2 linked regions of the Astyanax mexicanus genome follow. The protein of the gene in region 1 interacts with the protein of each later gene in a pairwise test. Links are inferred from orthologs where the notes say so. Each region holds a gene or a part of one and is shown on either strand. Other genes may lie near its edges. The genes, in order: aida and pinx1.

The links.
Region 2: the proteins of aida (region 1) and pinx1 interact in binary tests that used the Homo sapiens proteins (3 or more experiments, as listed by UniProt). The link is inferred for Astyanax mexicanus from reciprocal best matches to the Homo sapiens genes AIDA and PINX1.

What each region holds. Positions count from the first base shown.
Region 1 is NC_064408.1:54,336,313-54,347,559, reverse strand, and holds the start of aida (axin interactor, dorsalization-associated protein), read right to left. Parts: upstream 4,875-11,247; 5' UTR 4,691-4,874; coding exon 4,584-4,690; intron 3,282-4,583; coding exon 3,215-3,281; intron 3,052-3,214; coding exon 2,998-3,051; intron 1,593-2,997; coding exon 1,538-1,592; intron 1-1,537. UniProt on the Homo sapiens protein: Acts as a ventralizing factor during embryogenesis. Inhibits axin-mediated JNK activation by binding axin and disrupting axin homodimerization. This in turn antagonizes a Wnt/beta-catenin-independent dorsalization pathway activated by AXIN/JNK-signaling.
Region 2 is NC_064408.1:71,110,460-71,122,506, reverse strand, and holds the start of pinx1 (PIN2/TERF1-interacting telomerase inhibitor 1), read left to right. Parts: upstream 1-6,571; 5' UTR 6,572-6,609; coding exon 6,610-6,646; intron 6,647-9,006; coding exon 9,007-9,116; intron 9,117-10,308; coding exon 10,309-10,401; intron 10,402-10,510; coding exon 10,511-10,592; intron 10,593-11,288; coding exon 11,289-11,378; intron 11,379-12,047. UniProt on the Homo sapiens protein: Microtubule-binding protein essential for faithful chromosome segregation. Mediates TRF1 and TERT accumulation in nucleolus and enhances TRF1 binding to telomeres. Inhibits telomerase activity. May inhibit cell proliferation and act as tumor suppressor.

The sequences.
Region 1 (11,247 bases):
TTAGTTGTGTGTAATGAATCTAAAATATATGAAAGTCTAATGTTTATCAGTAAATTACAGAAAATAATGAACTTTATCACAATATGCTAATTTTTTGAGAAGGACCTGTAAATATGAGCAGTTTTTAAATGAAGGTTTTTATTATTAGGGAGAAAAAATTCAAATCTACATGGCCCTGTGTGAAAAAGTGTTTGCCCCTAAACCTAGGTCATGCCACAGCAGCTCAATAGTAGGTCAAGACTTTGACTAGGCCACTCCAAAGTCTTCACTTTGTTTTTCTTCAGCCATTTAGAGGTTGGACTTGCTGGTGTGTTTTGGATCACTGTCCTGCTGCAGAACCCACGTTCATTTCAGCTTCAGGTCACAGATGAGGAACAGATGGCCGGACATTCTCCTTCAGGACTTTTAGGTAGACAGCAGAATTCATGTTTTTATTAATCACAGCAAGTCTGTAGGTATGTATTTTACCGTAGGTATGATGATCTTTTTCTGAAAGGTGGTGTTACCTGTATGCCAGATATAATGGGACACACACCTTACAAAAAGTTAAAGTTTTGTCTCATCACTCCACAGAGTAATCTCTCAAAAGTCTTGGGAATCATAAAGATGTTTGCTGGCAAAATTGAGACCAGCCTTGTCTTTTTTTGCTCAGCCGTGGTTTTCATCTAGGAGCTCTGCCATGTAGGCCATTTTGCCCAGTCTCTTTCTGATGGTGGAGTCATGAACACTGACCTTAACTGAGGCAAGTGAGGCCTGCAGTTCTTTGGATGTTGTTGTGGGGTCTTTTGTGACCTCTTGGATGAGTCTACACCTCTTGGGGTAATTTCGGTTGAATGGCCACTCCTGGGAAGGTTCACCACTGTTCCTTGTTTTCGCCATTTGGGGACAATAGCTAACATTGTGGTTCACTGGAGCACCAAACTTTAAAAATGTTTTTTTTTAACCTTTTTCCAGACTGATAGATCTCAACAAAGTTCTTTCTCAATTTTTTCCCGAATTCCTTTGAATATTGGCAGGATGTCTTGCTTTTGAGAATCTTTTGGTCTACTTCTCTTTTTCAGGCAGGTCCTGTTTAAGTGATTTCTTGATTAAGGACAGGCGTGACAATAATCAGGCCTGGGTGTGAAAAGAGAAACTAAACTCAGGTGTAATGAACCACAGTTATGTTACTTTTTCCACACAAGGTCATGTAGGTTTAGATTTTTTTTTCCTTAATTATGAAAATCTTCATTTAAAAACTGCATTTTGTGTTTAATTGTGATGCATTTGATTAATATTAAAATGTATTTGATAATCTAAAACATTAAAGAGTGACAAACATACAAAAAAAAAAAATAGAAATCATGAAGGGGCAAACACTTTTTCACACCACTGAATATAAACATATAAAATCAACAGCTCCAGTCCTGAAGGGCAAGAGTATAAAAATACAAAATATTATATTGTATTGTATTATATTTAAACAGCAAACTTCCATAGAATTAATCTTAATATAACATTAAACAACAACTATATACACATGTCTTAGTGTACATACTGGGTTCCAGTTTCTTCAAGTCTTCCAACTTAAAATCTTCTTGGGATTGGTTGTACTAAAAACATAAAAAAAAGATGGTGAGAATGATGTTTGGACATTAACTTTTAATATATTTAAGCCAAAACTACTCTGTATAATATAATACATTACAAAGATATAAATATATATGACTGTATATAGCTTATATACTGAACTCATTGCTGTGTCCTGTGCAAGAGGTTTGGGCATCGTACAAAGAAAGCACCCCATTGCACCGTCTGTCAGAAATCATGTGTTGCAAATGCACCTCGCTCAGTTAAAATTCTTTAAAGTTAATTCTATGCCCTTTAAGTAAGGGGACTGTGAGGGCCACTGTGAAATCTTTTGTGTATGTGGTTTTGAGGTATATTTTAGATCCTTTATTATCCTGATATATTGCTTCCAGATTGTTTGACATCTTCCTTTTTTCCCCAACTGTACATTTGCTTATTGTGGCTAAAGACTTCTATGTAGACTTAATCAGCCCCTATTACTTATTTCATTACTTATTTCTCATAATATCCGAAACAAACTTGAAATGTTAAGTTTGGTGAGGGAGTTTTGTACTTATGACCCCCTCTATGTAGCTTATACTTATGCTGTGCATTTATATGGTAGTCTTGATTTGCTTGTCTTACCAGCATACCAGTAGTTCTGTCTTGGATCACATCTTGAATTTTATTTTGTAAAAGCCTTTAAATGTGATGTTAGTGAGTGTGACAGAGTACATTACAGCACACATGAACAGCACTTATCAGACTGACATGTTGGTATACAGTAAAACAGGAAAGTAAGTACAGGAGTATTTTTTATACTCTTCAAGATAAGGAGGTGTAGTCACTTTGCACAGTTCTGTAAGAAGACACAAATTTCCCCCTCATATGAACACCATTGTCTATTTACAACACCGGGGAATTGGGAGGCAGTGGTATAAAACATTATCTATGTTTGAAGTTGACCATATGGGGAGATTTACGGTCATATAGAAAAAAGCTTGAGTTGGCCACAAGTATATTTGGGAAATATAAGTGGCATTTAGCACCAGAACCATGTACTATCTGTCACGCATGGTGGAGGTAGCACCATGCTCTGAGGATGTTTTGCTGCCTGTGGCAAGGGTAAATTGCACAGAGAATAATAGAATAATGGACAGCTAGATTGTTGACACTGGGTATTCCAAAAGGACATGCATGAAACAAATTTGAAAGTGAAAGTGTTTCAATATGCATGCAAGAGTTCTGCTCCAAAAAGTTGCTAATAGTTACCAAATATTGACATGACATGTCATGATGAGTGTATGAAAACCTCCAATCACCAGCTGTACTTTACCACAAGTTCCTGCATTTGATCCACATTAACTTAAAACTAACCTTAACATTGAACCAGGCTTAAAATTATTTATTGGTGAGCTATTTTGTATACAGAGCAGCAAGACTACACACCTGTAAGGATGCACTTCGCATTTCAAGACATGTTGCAATCTTTCCCAGGTTTTTCTGGGGAAAAAAGACATATGGAAATGATTATGAACATTTATACTTAATAGTTCTAGGAAACATTATAGGTCTTGTTTAATTTGTAAATACTGATTCTATATCTGATTAAGGCACAGGGATATTTCAAACTTGAAGCAGACATGACTAAAGTACCTCTACCTACCTTCTGCTCCTCTGTAAAATCATGTGAATTTGATGACTGGACCTCTTTCTGCAGCTGCCTTGCAAGTCTGTCAAACAAAAAAGCAAAAAAACAGCATAATATAACATCCTTCTGATATCAAAAATCAGCAAACTTTTCAACAGTTAGCATCTAAGCTAACACTGCAATCCTTACTGCCGAGTTCGACTGCATTGAGCCGCTAGCTGCATTCCAGTATCTAACCAGCACTGCATTATCGCTAATCTAACATTTTGGCTTCATAATAAAAGTGCCAAGGCAGATTATATAAATAAAAAAAAGATGTTCATTGAAAACAATTACTGTATTGACCAACATAATAAAGAAGTATTTTTATTACATTTGTCTGTAATATTGTAAATATCTAAATACTGTTACTGTCTCATTTTAAGGGTTTTAAGCTGGGCTGGTATGTTTTATTATTACAGAGCAACATATTTCAGCTATTACTGTAGAAAATATATTAGAGTGTAGTTGCACTGTATTTGAGTGGGCCAGAGCGTCTTCTAAATTTGGTTCGTAATGTATTAGGTGAATAAAGGTGAAGCTCTATAAAATTGGTGTTTAGTTGTGAGAGATATACAGTGTTTTCAGCATCTGTTTCTGGCTGATGTGGAGCTTTTAAGTCGAGTTATTCATTAATGTACTAATTTAATTGAACAGTGCAGTTTAAAATACTGAAGAACGTGATTACATGCGATTGGTTTACATTAATGAATCACAGAACCTGCTAGCACTACTAAAACTCATTATTCATTTTGTTACATTTAGTGATGTAATTGGATTTCATACAGTCTACTTTCTGTTTTTCCCACTTTTGTAACAGAATTCTGAATGTTATAAACCAGCCTACTTAAAATAATAAAATATGAAACCCCAAATTAAATGAAGTTTACACCCATTTTTATCTCGATTTTTCCTCCGTTAGAGAACTCAATGAATAAGGGTTACTGACCCTTATTCTGTTATTATAGTAGTTTGATTAGAGGTGGGTGTGAGTTATTAGTGTATCACTGAGTGATCAGCGGTTATTGATCAGAGACCCCCGACTCAGAGAACCTCTGGGAGAAGCTCCGCCCACAGGAACAACCAGCAGCAGCAGCAGGAGCAGGAGGAGGAGGAGGGTGTGGCGGCAGTTCTGCAACATGTACAGTTACTGCGGGAGGGAGAGAGAGGGGGGTCCGCTGGCGCTCACTGACCCGCCCGCCCGCGGTATTACAGCGCTGCTAAACAGACACCAAACACTCAACACCAGCCTGCTGCCCACTCACACTCACACTCACAGAGCTCTGTGAGCCCCGCGCCGCTCGCTCGCTCCCTCCCTCCCTCCCTCCCTCCACAGTCTACTCACATCTGGTACTCATCTATCGCCTCCACCAGTTGCCCCCACGAGTCGAAGTCCGTGCCCTTCCTGAAGCTCGCGTGCCACTTGTGGAGGGTCTTGGTGACATCGGTCATCTTCCCGCGCCGCTCCCGGGGGGTTCAGGTCAGCGGCGCTGCCGGGGCTCCTCTGCTCTGCATGGCTGTGGATCAGCTGCTCCTCCACGGGCTACAGATGAACCGGCGACACAGCTACACACCGAGACCCAGCCCTGCTGCGCGCGCAGCCACACACTGCGCATCACCCCAGCGGAAGTGCTGCGAGTCGAGCGCCGCACACATACCTACTGTAAAAGTCTCAATCCGGGTCCTCACCACAGACCCTCCACACAGGAGACCGCCCACTCTACGGCGCCTCCACCAGGGGGTGCGAGATCACATCATTCAGCACAGGAGAGCTTTTAAACTCCACTCATAATAAACACTTTAAACGAGTAGCAGCAGAATGCAGCGCATGTAAACCCCGTTACTGTAGAGAAATGTAAACATACAGCCTAGTTATATTTGCTTTTTGCATAATACTTAATTCTACGTTCCGAAATACACCGTCTGGCCAAAACAAGTCACCCCCTGTATTAATGCCGACCTTACACCTAACAGTGTCCTTACACGACTTAGTAAAAACTTTTTACAGAAAAAAGTCTGACCCCCTTACATCTAAAGACAAGTCACAGACTTTTTATTTACAGACTTTTTACTCACAGACTTTTAAGTCACAGGCTAAGAGTTTACAAAGACTGGGGATATTTGCAGTCTTTCTGAGATTTCTTTCCTCTCATGCCTCTGTTGGAATTTACATACAATACATATATATTAAGTAACAAATAATGTGAATATCGCTGTGATTTATCAGAGACTCACCACCTTTGTCCCCATTAACAGTTTTCTGCCGCACTGTATTTTGTTCTTGATATTTTTTATAGAATACATTTTGTGTTCAACTCTGCCTATAAGCTTCCCCCCCCCCCTTTTTTTTTTTTTTTTTTTTGCTACAATCATGTTTAGCAAAGAATCACAGTTTCACGAGAGCAATGTCAACAACCAATAGAAGAGCTACGGGAAACCACAAGGCAATAATATTTTACGTGATTGTTTACAAACGGTTTAAAACAGAACACATTTTGCAGTTAATATGCCTTATATGGTTCTTACTTTAATATGTACAGTATTTTAAACACAGGCAGCACTTTAAAGTCATTCTATTTAAAAATATATTTTTGCACTGCTTTGTCTTATTGTGCAGTTTTATTTTTGATACAAACAAGTTAATTAAATACACATTTTGCAAGAATTATGTTCTTTATTGCATTAATTCTATCTAAAACAGCTTGACTCTAGCCAGACTCTCTTGATTTTATCCTGACTCTGGAAATTTGTTTGCGACAGAAAAATCGTTTGAAAATCGTTAGGTGTAAGGCAAAAATTAGCAAAATCTTAGCCTGTGATTAAAAAGTATGTGACTTGTCTTTAGATGTAAGAGGGTGTCAGACTTTAGTATATTACAAATCTTTTCAGCGTTTTTTCAAAGTTATGTAGCGTATGGACAGCATAAGCAAAAAGCCTCCTATTGGATAATTACTGCATGGGTGATTGTCTAACAGCTGGCAGCAAGTTATTAAACCCCAGTTGCTTCTCATTTCTTAAACAACCATGTAGAAATACACACCTTGTGGTCATGGAATGGCAATGCCAGAATTCATGGGGCTGGAATTGTGAAAGAGTGACTCAGGCAGCATGAGATCATCATTTTCACACATGGATTGTTCACCACAGAGTCCAGATCTTAACCTCATTGAGAATCTTTAGGATGTGCTGGAGAAGTTTTGTGCAGCGGTCAGACTCTACCATCATCAATGCTGCAAGATCTTGGTGAAATATGGATGCAACACTGGAAAGAAATTAGTGTTGGTACATTGCAGAAGCTTATTGACACAAAGCTCCACGCAATCAAAGCTAAAGGTGGTTCAACAAAATATTAGCATGTGTGACCTTTTTTTGGTGGCGACTTTGTTGGTGGCCAGGCAGTGTTTAAGGAACATCTTAAATGTAGTTAATATTTTTTTATTTTGTGTTTTTAGTAGTTTAGCTCCACGTCTCCCCATTCATTTAGGGCTCTCTCGCGGGCTCCCTCTAGCGGTGCGCAGTGGTTTTCTGATGTAACGGAGAGACAGGAGGTGACCAGGCTCTCCATTAACCGGTGTCCTGAAAATCCATGCTACCCATCGAAACGTCCTACCAAGGGCTATTGCGCATGCGCAACATCAGTTTTCTGGTATTCAGAGCCACGCCCATAATTTCGTGCTGCTGGCAGATGGTGCTCTCGGATTCACGGTTAGTAACGCGTATTTAGCGCATTTTATCGTGTTTTGAGGTAGAAATGTTTCATAATTAAACCTTTTATCGTGTTTTTGGGGCAGAAATATTCCGTTATTAAGCCTTTGTTCACATACGCTTTATTACATTCAGTTGATTAACACTACACGTGTAACTTATCTAACACGTGTAGGGTCAAAATGGTGGAAATATTTAGTTATTGAGCCTTTTAACGTGTTTTGAGGCAGAAATATTTCATTATTAAGCCTTTTATCGTGTTTTGGGGCAGAAATATTTCATTATTAAGCCTTTGTTCACATATGCTTTATTAAATTCACTTGATTATTACTACACGTGTAAGTTAGGGTCAAAATGTCTGAAATATTTCATTATTAAGCCTTTTATCGTGTTTTGGGGCATAAATATTTCATTATTAAGCTTTTTAACGTTAACGTGTTTTGGGGCAGAAATATTTAATTATTAAGCCTTTTATTGTGTTTTGGGGCATAAATATTTCATTATTAAGCCTTTGTTCACATGTGCTTTATTAGATTCAGTTGATAATTGCAGCGATGGAAGAGAAGTGGGATACGATTTATGCATTTTTGGCCGTGGGAACATACCCTAATGCTTATAACAAATCGCAAAGGCAGAACCTCAGGAGATATGCCTCCAAGTTTCAAGTAAAAGGTCAGTGAATTCTTGCTGCTGCTGTAGTGATAATGAAAAATGATTAACCTACCTTATCAGAATGTGCTACCAGCATTTACACTGTAGGTAGGATAGATTTATAGACTAAATTACCTTATCAGAATGTGCTACCAGCATTTACACTGTAGGTAGGATAGATTTATAGACTAAATTACCTTATCAGAATGTGCTACCAGTATCAGTACTGCAGGTAGGATAGATTTATAGACTAAATTACCTTATCAGAATGTGCTACCAGCATTTACACTGTAGGTAGGACAGATTTATAGACTAAATTACCTTATCAGAATGTGCTACCAGCATTTACACTGTAGGTAGGATAGATTTATAGACTAAATTACCTTATCAGATTGTGCTAGCAGTATCAGTACTGCAGGTAGGATAGATTTATAGACTAAATTACCTTATCAGAATGCGCTACCAGCATTTACACTGTAGGTAGGACAGATTTATAGACTAAATTACCTTATCAGAATGTGCTACCAGCATTTACACTGTAGGTAGGATAGATTTATAGACTAAATTACCTTATCAGATTGTGCTAGCAGTATCAGTACTGCAGGTAGGATAGATTTATAGACTAAATTACCTTATCAGAATGCGCTACCAGCATTTACACTGTAGGTAGGATAGATTTATAGATTAAATTACCTTATCAGAATGTGCTACCAGTATCAGTACTGCAGGTAGGATAGATTTATAGACTAAATTACCTTATCAGAATGCGCTACCAGCATTTACACTGTAGGTAGGATAGATTTATAGACTAAATTACCTTATCAGAATGTGCTACCAGTATCAGTACTGCAGGTAGGATAGATTTATAGACTAAATTACCTTATCAGAATGCGCTACCAGCATTTACACTGTAGGTAGGATAGATTTATAGATTAAATTACCTTATCAGAATGTGCTTCCAGCATCAGTACTGCAGGTAGGATAGATTTATAGATTAAATTACCTTATCAGAATGTGCTACCAGCATTTACACTGTAGGTAGGATAGATTTATAGACTAAATTACCTTATCAGAATGTGCTACCAGCATTTACACTGTAGGTAGGATAGATTTATAGACTAAATTACCTTATCAGAATGTGCTACCAGTATCAGTACTGCAGGTAGGATAGATTTATAGATTAAATTACCTTATCAGAATGTGCTACCAGCATTTACACTGTAGGTAGGATAGATTTATAGACTAAATTACCTTATCAGAATGTGCTACCAGCATTTACACTGTAGGTAGGATAGATTTATAGACTAAATTACCTTATCAGAATGTGCTACCAGCATTTACACTGTAGGTAGGATAGATTTATAGATTAAATTACCTTATCAGAATGCGTTACTAGTATCAGTACTGCAGGTAGGATAGATTTATAGACTAAATTACCTTATCAGAATGCGCTACCAGCATTTACACTGTAGGTAGGATAGATTTATAGACTAAATTACCTTATCAGATTGTGCTACCAGCATTTACACTGTAGGTAGGATAGATTTATAGACTAAATTACCTTATCAGAATGCGCTACCAGTAGGTAGGTAGGATAGGTAGGTAGGATATATTTATAGACTAAATTACCTTATCAGAATGCGCTACCAGTATCAGTACTGCAGGTAGGATAGATTTTATAGGCTTAGTAACTTTATTTGAATGTGCTTTGTGCTATAAACTTTTGTGTGGTCCATTTTCAATTCAGATGGAGACCTCTTCTTTGAAATGAAAAGAAAGGTCATTAAAAAAAAGGAGGACGCCAGGGTTATGTTCGAGGAGTTTCATTCCAGCCCAATCGGTGGACACTCGGGTGTCATGAAGACACGTAGTGCCATGTGTGCCAGGTTTTACTGGCCAGGCATGACCATTGATATAGAAAATTGGGTATGTTTATTTCTTTTTCTGTTTTAACTATTATATAATTGCAAGTGTCATTGGTATATTAACACATTTATGCCTGAAGGTCTTGGAATGCGACAAGTGCCAGAAAGTAGGGAAACCCCTGGATGTTGCACAGCCGCTACAGTGCATTAAGGTAAATGCATTCAGTAACACAATTCTGATGACCAGTTCTTTCGAAATACATGATGCAATTGTTTTTTTTTTGTTTTTGTTTTTTTACTGGTAGGTGTCTGCGGTGTGGGAGCTTGTTGGCATTGACCTAACTGGCCCATTACCTGAAACATCAGATGGCTGTCAATACATATTGACAGTTACTGATTACTTCTCCAAGTGGGTTGAGGCCTTTCCACTAAGAAGTAAATCTGCAGCTGAAGTGGGGAAACACTTATGTTCTATAATTTACTGTCATGGCTGTCCAAAAAGAATTCTCTCAGATCAGGGGCGAGAATTTGTTAATGAAGTAAGTGTGTTACAATACCGTGTATAAAATCTGTGTGTTGTATTTGTTTTATTGTGTGTTTGTTTTTTGTTGTTGTTGTTTAAAATATGCATTTATCTGTTTTTCAGTTAGTGTTCACACAATGTAATGGGAAATGTTACATATTTTATTGGCCAAATTGAGGAAAATCTAACGATTTTTTTCTGAGAGATTTGTTAACTACAATCATTTTCTTTTTGAAGCTAAACCAAAGGCTGTGTGACATGCTCCATATTGAAAGGAGTGTGACAGCAGCCTACCACCCTCAAACGAATGGGCTTGATGAAAAGACAAATGATAACATAAAACGGTAGGATGTAATTTTAATTTGGTCTTCAAGATAAAGTGACTGCTGCTGCTGACATTTATTCTGCCTGTGTATATTCTAGGGAAGCCTAGATACCATTTTTTGTATGAGTACATGTATTTTTGTAATTAAAGATAATGATACTTGGAACTAAGCAATGGAGCAAATGGAATATTATATAGTGTTGGAGTGTTGGTGTATAAGTAATGTAAGATTTGTAGTGATCATCACATTTATATAAACATTTTTTTTACTTTTCCAAACAAGCCAAATATTTTAAGAAATTATGAAATTGTGCTTAGATGAAGAGAATAGTTTTATTGGATGTATAAGCTATTTGATGCCTTAAGGACAAATTGCTGACCTGCTCGGGTTTGAAGTTGAGACTGCTGCGATTCCCCAACCCTGTGCCTTATTGCATGCTCATCCTCATCCTCTCTTGTGTTCTCCAGAGCTGTGTGTATGTTTGAACATTTGATATTTGTATTCTTCTTCCCACACTCTCAATCCTGCATAAACTTCTTAGCAAACTTTGTTTTTCAACTTGTGTCATTACTTTATGGTTACAGAGCCCTGAAAAAGTTGGTCAATGAAAAGCAGAATGACTGGGATGTCTTTCTTGATGCCACACTCTTTTCCCTGCGCTCAAAGGTCCACACTACCACGAAACATTCACCATTTCTTCTAATGTATGGTAGGGAGGCAGTGTTTCCATCTGAGCTTCCTGTGGAGTTGCCGGTTAGTATGTTCACTTGGCTTATGAAATATTTGATCAAATGAATGTCAAGGCATTTGGATGTTAATTTATTTGTTCCATTTTATTTAATGTGATGTTTGATTTGATTTAATGTGATGTGTTTAATTTAGAAGGCTTTAGTCCATGAAGCAAATCCTATGAAATCAGTCCTAGTCCATAATAATGTT
Region 2 (12,047 bases), about 17 Mb from region 1:
TGACCGAGAATATTCCCAGATAACAATGTCAGGATTCATGGTGCTGGAATTGTGAAAGAGTGATTCAGGGAGCATGAGATCATCATTTTCACACAAGGATTGTTCACCACAGAGTCCAGACCTTAACCTCATTGGGTGCTTTTCCACCGGCATGGTGCCAGTGCTGGTGCCAGGTTCCCGAACGGTTCTTTCCATTTCTACCGCAAAATCACAGCTTCTGGGCCAGGAACTTGCTGGTCTGGAACCAGCGAACCTGTGACGCGAGCGGCCAAAGGGTGGGGCGCTGAATCGTCTCTGGGGCAAAGTTGTTTACAAACCTCACCTCCATTCACAGCTAAGAGCAGCAGAAGCAGCTAAATGAATAAAAAATATTCAATAGTGGTCCACCGAGGACAGCAGCACAAGTTTTAAAAGGAGCTCGGGTTCTGCCTTGTTGTTTTCAAATCGCCCCCGACTTCTGTTGATGCCCACATTCACATACGTAGTGAGTGACTCCTTGAAGCAGTGGAAACACGGGCCGGTTCTTAAAAGGTTTGCAGGAACCGGCTCCGGCACCAGCACTTTTTTGGTGGAAAAGAGGTAATTGAGAATCTTTGTGATGTGCTGGAGAAGACTTTGTGCAGCGGTCAGACTCTACCATCATTAATGCAACACTTGAAATAAATCTTGTGACATTGCAGAAGCTTATGGAAACAATGCCACACTGCGGTTCAAAGATAAAGGCGGTCCAATCAAATATTAGAGTGTGCGACTTTTTTTTGGTGGCAAATTTCTTTTGACCAGGCAGTGTATATCATGTCTTTTGTCTCACATTTGTCTAACGCTAGGTCTTCTAAACAGTTTTAGAAGGAACATCTGTGACAAAGTTGCTCTCTAAATAATACCTATTCCCCTATCTGGGAATAATTCCAAATATCTCTCCAGGAACTTTTGAGTAAAAAAAAAATATATATATTCATATGGGCAGTTCTTTTAACTGCCAGCAAAAGAAAAAATTCTAGGGCTGGAAACTATATTTAAAGCCCATAATGTCTAGATTTGGTAACATTTAATTTATATAATTTATAATACTATATTGGTGCATTATAGTGGCCTTTAGCAGTCAGAAGTGTTAACTTGCTTTTACAGCCTTCAACACGGGACCAAACAGCGGTTCCTCAATTTATTACAAATAACATATAGGGGAAAATTAACCTGGGGGACTCACTATACATTGAGGACGAGTAAGGTGAAGAAAGACATACCCACTATGCATATATAGGGTTCCAGAGGCCAATGGGAAAGTTGTCTTACTCATTGAGGTTGCAGTACCCAAATATCCCAAGTACCCCTCGCTGCAGAACCACAAGTCCAGGGGGTGGGGCTGGATCTGATCCAAGGGGTGGAGCCTGACCTCCTGACCACCCATATCTTCTTTTCATTGGTTTTAAGTCATCGCATTTCAATTCGTTGTTAAACATAACACGTGTCGCTTACGTTTCCCGACCAGGACTTTTATCTTATCAAATAAATCCTGGAAAATGTTATTTGCTACGTAGCACATTTAAATCACACAATACAGATTTAAAAGAAGGAACATGTCTGTGATTACAAACATAATAAAATGCTGTACATTTCCTATATAAATATTAACTATTTCATTTTTTATCTTTAATAAAAAGGGCCTAAAGACAAAATAAAAAATAAATAATTAAAATAAAGGATGCCAATGAGTGTCTTATCTACCAGCTACCATGTTCATTTATTATTACAGATATTAATACACAATCAAAATGGCGAACAAAAAACAGAGTTCTATAAAAAGAGTGTAACGATGTATAATTTTCCAAAGAGCTTGGAAAAATGCCCAGTACACTGAGAGTATAGAATGAGGATGTTGTTACTGCCAGATTGTTATTTATATTTTTTCTTTCTCCTCTTCCCCGTTCGTGATTGTTTACTTGACTCCGAAAGGCGAGTGAGTAAAACCGGATGGGGAAGAGTCCGATCTGCTTCAGACCAATGAAAACACGACGTAGGAAGAGTTGGATCAGATCCAGCCCCACCCCCTGGACTTGTGGTTCTGCAGCGAGGGGTATCTCCAAGTATGAGGTACTCCCTAAAGCTCATTGTATTTGAACAAAATGAATAACATGACTTGGGTCAATATAAATAAATGTATTAACTCAACTCAAAACATGAGAGAAATAGATCTTACACAAAAAAAACTCAGTTTGTATGAATTACTTTGACATAATCAGCTGATTTAACCATTAACTTAATAAATACATTAAAAACAGGGTAGTTAGAATTTATAGTGAAAGCCAAGTTAAATGTATTTTTAACAACATAACAGATACCACTGACGTGTTATGCTTAAAATCTTTTCTTGAGACAAAAAGGTATTACTCAGAAAAAAACAGACAAATATCCATTTGCTGACGCAACCTTTTGGTGACCTTTGGGAAATAACTGTTCTGTGAGGTACAGCAGAATCAATAGACCTCGGGTTTGGATTTCAGCAAAGCATCAAAAACCATTTTATGGTGACGGTGCTTGACTGTCACTGGCTCATCTGTCTCAACATGCACTGTATATCACTGCTGAGACTAGATGAACCCTTTAACCTTTATCTGAGGTCTACCCTCATATGACACAGTGTTTTTTTGTTGAAAATGTACACATTAAAGCATAGAAGTATATCCTGCTAAATTGTGACAGTTGTAAACTTTTTCTTTATTTCTCATGTCTGTATATTCTGGAGATAGCATTCTAAAAAGATGTCTGTATAACCATCACACAAAACACAATTATGCAATGTACAGGTTATTACAATAGGGTGCCTTAAATTTGTTTAAAATGGTGAGAGTTATTTGAATTGCTTTATTTGAATTCGTTTACTGATTGATTATTACCAAGCACTATTTTGTGCAGTCAAACTGAGTGAGATAAAAACAAGTTTCATATCTAGGCCAGCCAAGCACCAAGATAACAGAAAAGATTGCTTAATGATAATCTACTGATATAAAATAAAATGTTACATACAATCTTATTTATCAGTCTTTCATATCATTTCTATTCAAATATTTTCTGTGTAAATGTTTTTCAAAGACGCACAGTCACGAACAGTATATATAACTGACGGTGCAAAATTTTCTAGACACAAGTCAGACAGATCTTATCGTACCACATTTCCTTCTCAGGTCTGGAGTAAGGACATTCAAGGTTACTTTGTGTGATGTGTGTTAAACCAGATCTTGGCACAGAATCTGGCACACTTTGTGCCACGTCACAAGTTCTACATGTTCTTTAAGCAATGCACAAAAGTCTCAAAGTATAGAATTAAGATGTAGGCTGGGTAATTAGTTTTTAAAAAATTGTAGTTCAGAAGACTACATTATTTAGTTTCTTCAATGTGATGTCATTTTTAAATCACACAGAAGATTTTCGACTGAGATATATAGAATAGGTATATTGTTGCTGTCTCTGTTTTTGCCTATTTTTGATTACTACATAATTTGAACACACAAACTGTCCCTTATACTAATAGAAATTATCCTAAAATGAACTCTTTTTACATTGACTTTCATTGAAAGTTAAGAAGGCTAAACAAACTATTTACTCCCTTCAATTTTTACTGCATTCATAAATGGAATCATGGTCAGTATCATTTTTACAAGAATTTCCATTTTAATGTCAAAATGAAATCAATTTCTACAGAAAAATGTCTAAAAAACAATACTATATAATATAGAATTATACAGTAATTTATATAATTTAAGTTAGATCAATGGAGATCAGCTCTGGTTCAGGGTAGGTGACCAATAGAGATTAAAGGGGAACGCCTTCTTCTAAGCCCCGCCCACCCGTGAAAAGTGTGCCAAAAATCAGAACCAAAAAAATGAAGCAGAAGCAAAGTAGAGATTCCAGAAGCAAAAGTCTTTAGCAGCAAAATCCAAAAAAATCCAAAAATGAAAGCAAAGACTGGCAAAATCCAAACTAAAATAATTTTCAAATAAGTGCAAAGAATAATAAAATAACCAAGTATATTTAAATATATATATTTGATATATATTTTTTCTCTTTTGAATTTGCAACATACATGTTTTACTTTTGATTCTTAAAATTTTGATTGTGGATTTTATTTTTTTACGTAAAACTTTTGGCACAAAATTCACTCCATAGACATATAAATCAAAAGAGGGGAATAACTTGATTGCACCTCCTTGATACATGTGTCAGAACATCTTCTCTTGATTTATTGGTTTGGCACACAAGACACTCATTTTTGTTTACTGACCGTCTGGTGGAAACCTGTAGTGCGAAGTGCCTTGTCAGCATGCCAAACAACACCTAGCCATACACAAAAAAACATGCATTGTACATTTATGGGTAGATATACCCATACCCGTACAGTTACAATCATATACATTTCATTAAAAATACCTTTCTGAGCTGTTACACAATATCCCTTAATGGTTGTGATCTGCATAACCCCTGAAATGAGTGTAGGATACCACAACCCTTCATCAACACTGCTTTTGTAAAGTAAAATGCAATCTCAGGTACCTCATTCTCGTCAGACGTTGAATTCTTGCTGCTGTAAAAATTTTTTTTTAGCTTTTTCAAGCTTTCTGTGCTTTCCTTAATTTTCTTTCTTTTTTGGGCAACGCTGGGATAAAACCGTTTCATGGTTGTGCCAAAGCTACCTTAGTCTACCTCGCCTGGCTTAACTTGGGTGTACAAAAAAGAAATAATGTGGGTTTTTTTTTTTTCGTTTTTGGCCAGCAGCCCCTGATTCCCGGGGCCCCAAGCAATTGGGTGGTTTGCATAGTTAAATCCGCCCCTGACTGCAGACTGTGCACGGAACATGCAACGTTAACAAACATGGGGTGGTGCCGAATTCAGCACCGCCATCAGGAATAGCACCCCATCATGGCAGGGGTGTTGAATTCGGCACAACACCAGCAAGCCTACTGAGCAGTGAGTAATGACGTAAGCATGCTTGGGCACAGATTGTTTAAACGCAGTGTGAGTGTAGGTCAGCAGGGGAGTGGGGAGGGCCCAACCTTTTAAATTAGCGTTGTTCCAGTCAGGTCCTATGTTACACAAAACAATTGATACAAACATTAAAGCATACTCTAAGGTAATACCATGAATGGTTAGTCTGTCTATTTATGATTTTATAGAAAAAAAAAGATCTGTCTGACTTGTGTCTAGAAAATTTTGCACCGTCAGTTATATATACTGTTCGTGACTGTGCGTCTTTGAAAAACATTTACAGTGAGTTAGCTAGTTTACCTAGGTCATCTGGTCAGTGAGTTACCTAGCTACTTAACCTAGGTTATCTGGTCAGTGAGTTACCTAGCTACTTAACCTAGGTCATCTGGTCAGTGAGTTAGTGGGTTAGCTAAGCTAGTTAGGTTACCTAGTCAGTGAGTTAGCTAGTTAACCTTAACCAGCACTTACTTGGCTTTACCCTGGGGCATAATAACTAGCTTAGCTAACCCACTAACTCACTGACCAGATGACCTAGGTAAACTAGCTAACTCACTGACTAGGTAGGTTAGTGTTCACTAACTAACTAGTATAATTTAAGCATGGATATTTAGCACACCCCGCTAACATGAGCATCTTAATAGAGTTAAACACTTACTTAAAAAAGAAATATAACATTAATCATAACGTCTGTATGAAATTTAATTGGAAAAGTACCTGCTGGTGCTGCTGTGAGCTGAACCCCGTTCGCTCCGCCATGTTTGGAAGAGCGCTTGAAGCTGGCGGGGTGGGCGTGGTCTGTCTCAGACGAGGGTTCAGGGCAGAGCCATAGAGAGATCAGGTCCTATGTTACACAAAACAATTGATACAAACATTAAAGCATACTCTAAGGTAATACCATGAATGGTTAGTCTGTCTATTTATGATTTTATAGAAAAAAGATTAATTACCTTGAAATATCTATAAAATTATTTTTTAAGTGAAAAAATAAATATGGATTGTAATGTTTGTACTTTTATGTGAAGCAAATATAAAAACATCTATTTTTCTCTTGCAAGATAAATATTCTTTATAAAGAGTCCAACCATTGTTTCAGTCAATGGTAAATTTTAATGCCCAATGAGATAGAATTCCAGGTTTAGATCTAGGGACCACGTAAAAAGGCAGAACCACCTAGTTCAGTCATTACAGACCTCCACAATTCATGTAGCTTCAGATCAGATCAATAACAAAGGAGCGGTTCATGTAAGGGGGTTTCCATGGTCAAGCAGCTCCATCCAATCCTTACCTCACCCAATACAAATGAGCGTATAATATAGTATACAAGAGTGTATATTTAGGGAGAACATTGTAGAAGGACTTTAAAATGAACTTTAAAAAGGAACACGCTACAATGTCGACCTCTAGTGTCAGCACTTTTAATAGACATAATAAATTAAAGAGGGCTTTAAACTGCCCACGTAAAACTAAAAACACAAAACATATTTAAAACATATATTTACCTAAACATATATACATCTCTAAAATGTATGGGATAATATTTTTATATTCGTCATAATACACAAAATATATAAAACTAAAAAAATATTTTACACTCAGGCATAGGTGGGGAAGCCTGGCGGCAGCGTCCACATGCTCCAGGACCCCACGATGTCCATGCTTGCTGAACGTGAGTTGATAGTTTGTTTTGCTTTATTTTTGGTTGTTCGTGGTTTCTCGTGCTCTATAGTGTCAGTGTTGACCCTGGATATGTGGTTTACACCCGTACCTGTGCTGCCAGGCTTTAATAGAATCGTTTTCCTCGTTTTAAAGTTAATCAGAAGATCAGCCGGTGCGCTCGGGTTAGCTAGTGCTAGTTAGCTGTAGCTCTGTAGATGTGGCTCTGGGGCAAAACACACTAATGATCAGTCAGATTATTACACACACACACACACGCTGCTCTAATAGTCGTATATTAGGTCAGAGCTGTCAGACTTCAGTCTTAGATGGCCTTAATAATACTCTGCCTAGATCTACACATTAGATAATTAACTAAAGTTACATCAGTTCACGCATCTGTTGTTGTATTTTATATTGGAGCAGTAAAGTGAAAGTGATCATTTGACCTGTTCTGAGCTCATTTTAGACCAGCGCTCATGAGTCTAGCTCAGACTTGTCGCTCAGATTCTTCAGTAAGTTATTGTTATCTAGTTAACAACAGGGTCAGATTTAATGGGTGTGTCAAAACAGGGAAATCCAGCTGTCCCCAGCGCTTACCAGCACTGCCAATGGGCTCTTGGGGGTCTTTCGCACCTGAAAGTCTAGACCAGAGTCTAACGTATACTAAATTTTATGTGTTTGGGGAACCGATAAAAGTGTTGTGTCCGGGGTGTTCTGTCGAGTTGTGCTACCTTTTCAAACCGTGCTACCCTAATGTATATATGTATATATACTGTAAAATACAGAAGAAGCTCAATATTAGAGCATGTTCACATTAGATGTAGCTAGTTTAGTATATTTGAAAAACATAAATTGCTGTATCTTGGTAAAGTTATGGCAATGAGAAGTCATTACAAACTGCTTTTGTGTTTTTTCTAAAATATTAATTATTGTACTTATTATTATTCATTTCCATTTACACGTTTATGCAATTACAAAGAGTGAGTCCAGGTTGTTTCATGCACAGAAAAAAACAGATATTAAAAACATAAACAATAATTATTTCCTGTAGGTCACCGCATGCGCAGTGCCTTTATGAAACACGTATGGATGGGTAGCATAACTCGACAGGACACCTGTTAAAAGTAAGCTTAGCTTGATAATGAATTTAAGTTAGTGCTTACCACTTCCCCTCTGTTTTATTATTTAATTACGAAATCAATAAGAGGGGTTCTGCTTTCCACTTGCTAGTTAGCTTGCTAACCCCTAGCTATATTATGTAAGTATCTGTAAGATTGGTAACCTTACACCAGTCTATTACGTTTGGATTCTGCATTTTACTCAGTTCCCCGTGTTTCTCACATTGTATAAATTTGCTTCAGTTTTGGTTTAGTGAGCTGTGGGAGAGTGCCGTGTTGTATTGTACACAATAATATCACAAATATTTTTGAATATTGTTATCACTAAAATATGCTAAAATATTGTGATATTAATTTAGTGCCATTTAGTGCAATAATCATGCAATAATGTTGCCAAATAAAACTAAATACTTGTTTTGTTGCAGCAGTGTATTTTTAAAATTGTATATGTTTTTAGTTCAATATTTTTTCCTATCACCAAAAATATCATTATCACAAAAATACCCTGAAATATTGTCATATAGCTCACCCCTAGTGAGTGGATTAAAGAACCGTACTACATCATGTCTCTCTATACTTCATATAAATTGGTTTCAGTTAAATCCCTTTTCACACCTGCTACTTTAGTTCAGACCCAAACTGAAAGTTCTGAAACTCCGGACTAAACAGGGCAGGTGTGAAAGCATCCTAATGCCCTCTCCAGACGGGATTAGTTTCTCAGGGGACGCCTGTAAAAAATATTTCTCACACTTCTACTCAGTGATTTAAACTCTTGCATCCGGACTGCAATTAATAAAACAGGAGGACCAGAGAGTTTTTTTTGGCTTTCTCGGTCATGTGACATCACGTTCAGTAGCTCCTCCGTTTTTATATGCTGTTGTGTTTACGTGAATCTCCATGAAACGTGAAGTGTAAGTACGGTGCGTGGCAGTGGACAAATAGCTATTTTATTAATCGCAAGGTAATCAAACTCAGAGACTACAAAACTGTAGGTAATTCAGCCTGTAATTTTCTTAGAGGACGTCTGAGAAAAACACGAAAAACATGTACATGGTCGTTCTGGACGGGAATAAAATCACAGAGAACCCCCCATAAAAGAGAAAATTACCCCAGGACCCCAAATCTCATTCGGATATGGGATAAGGGAACTTTCCTACATCCTGTCATCAGCAGAGAGCTAGACTGTCGGTTACATAATGATGATTAGTTCACTGACACTGTTGGCTGATTGCTAATTGCATTGTTGTATTAGCTCGTCGAAGGCAGAAGTGGTCTGTGGACCCGAGGAACAGTGCATGGAGCAAAGATGAGTCCAAGTTCGGCCAGAAGATGCTGGAGCGAATGGGCTGGTCCAAGGGAAAGGTAATAAAGTTCTTACATTGCCACCTCAATCAATGAAGTATTTGTACATCCTGGATTCTGCACTATATATATATATATATATATATATATATATATATATATATATATATATATATATATATATATATATATATATGCCTGAACTTGGTATTAGCAAAATGTACAAGGGGGGCAAAACCTCTCACTGGCTGTATATATTATTTATCACCATAGATTACTGTGTCTGTCAGCCAATTACACTGTGGTCAACAGCATGTAAAATGACACAAACCAATTGTACACATAAAGCAAATATACAGTTTTTGGGGAAAAACTGTTTTGTGTTTTGGCTTCAGGATGTCTTATTTCATTTGTGTTGTCTTTTAATGCAAGTTATACAAGCTGTGTTTGCACAAACTGTTTGTCAGCTATGAGTGCAAATAAACATAGTAGAATTGTCTATTTAGAATGTATTTCTGGATACCTTTACACATAGCATCCAAACATATTTGGATTTGTTTTAACAGGTTGTTTGTACATTTATTTGGGTTGATCATTAAAAAGATTACTGTCCTCTAGGTGTCAAATGCAGTGTTCTTTTTTTTGTCCTTTATTGCTTTACGTTTATACAGTATGTTGACATGACTACATAAGGTCAGAGGCACCCAGAATTAGATTTGGATTGGATGATTATGATGATGATAATGCTCTACTGTGATTATGTGATATTCAATATTTTGCAAGACATTTATCTATGATACTATGATGAATCTGTGTTGCTGAAGAGGAGAAAATACTAGGACTTGTTGATTAATTGATGTTCGTTTCATAGAATTTTACAACCAATATTCTTCACCGCAGGTTTACCCGATTCATTTGATTAGTGCCACTAGGTGGAGTAATGAAGCAGTAACTGTAATAAGTCAATTTGGGTAGTAAATCTTAGGGAATTTAGAGTACTTATGCTTTACTTGACATCAAGTATTGTTCATATGTTGAAAGTAATAGAATATATCACAATAGTTATATTTTGTCCCAACCCTACCCAAAATCCGGACTGCATTTTTTTCACAGAAACTGATCAGTTTAGGTCTAGTCCAAGACTGCATTGTAATTTGCAGTGTAATTTAACACTATGTAGTTTATTTGGCTTTATTTGTACTTTATCTGTGGCCTAATAATGCTTCTTTGTTTCTCATTTCGTTCCAATTAGGGTCTTGGAAAAACTGGGCAGGGTGCTACAGACCACATCAAGGTTAAAGTGAAAAACAACAGTTTGGGTTTAGGTGCCGCAGTCTACAATGAGGTGAGCACTTTTCTGAATCTTTGTGTGGATCCTAAATTGTTTTTTTTGTTGTAAGGTTTTAGTCAGTCACAGTATGTTATCTAAATTATGTGGTGAATGTGTCTTGTAGGATAACTGGATTGCCCATCAGGATGATTTTAATCAGCTTCTTGCTGACCTCAACAACTGCCACGGTCAGAACAGCACTGAAGGTACATTACAGATAAATGTGTTTCTTTTAATTTATTTTGTTTATTAGGTAGACCAGTTTGATTTTATGTGTTCATGTGTATTTTATAGCAGACCCAAGCTGTGTACATACTGTAGTTTGGTTATGATATTGAGTGTCTGTTACCTCTTGATAGAATATATATATATATATATATATATATATATATATATATATATATATATATATATATATATATATATATATATATATATATATATATTAATTACAAAAAATATAAAGTTATAAGGTTAAAACGTATAAGCATATCTTGTACATATAATAACTGGTTATAGCTTTTCTGCCTTTTCCCCACACTTAAAATACCACTTGGTGGTGCTGTTGTTACACAGTGCTCACACTAGGAAAGCTGGTTTACAGCGTTACTGTGTGCACTGTGACTGTGTAGTTTTCTGGTTTGAGTTGAGGTAAAATCAAATACAAATTTAGGCCGTTTTGAAAGTAATAGGAAACGCCAGCCTTATTACCAAGCATGATAATGATCTAGTTTAAAAGTAAGGGCATTAGAGCACCAGGTTGCAGTCTTTTTTATTATTATTATTATTATTATTATTATTTTTTTTTTTGCTAACTGTAGTTATAAGTAATGTCAAAGATTTATTTGTCATTGTAAAAATTAGTTGCAATCTGAATTGTCGTTTTTTTTTTTTACATACAGAAGTCACCCAGGAACAAAAACAAGGTTTTAGTTTGGAGGAGAAATCAAAGACCTCCAGAAAACGGGTCCATTACATGAAATTCACTAAAGGTAAGACCATCTATATCTTCATTTTTGGTTAATTTGTCCTTGTATTAACTGTTCTTGTCGGGCATAAATTCTGTTAATTTCTTTTTGTGGTCAAGTAAATTTTGTTTATTTAAATTTTATTGAAAAATTTGTTTATTTCCCTAATGTAAAGAAAAAAAAAACTTGTAGAAAAAAATCCTAATCACTTAGTTTTTTTTATTTTAATGCATTTATGACTAACAGTTATTCATTATTTGGTAAGTGCTTTAAATATACACTTGTATAGAAACCATCGAACATAGCAAAAGGGTGGGTTCACATACATTACTATATGCTCTAAGGTATCAGTCTACACAGCTGTAACTCTACAGTTAAATGTGCGCGCATTAAACAGTGGCCCAAAAATTTGAAAACTCATTGTCAGTTATCAGTAAAGATGGATTGCAGTTGTTAGATTTAGGGGCAAATACTTTTTCACACAGGACTAAATTGGTTTGGATAGTTTATTTTTTCCTTTAATAAATTACCATTTAATAAATTATCATTTGGAATGTGTTTTTTTTTTATATATTTACTAAGGTTATATTTGTCTGATGTTAAAGTTTGATGAAAATGTAAGTATGACAAAAAAGCAAAAACAGAAGAAATCTGTATGGGGCAAATACTTTTTCACACCAGTGAAATATATAA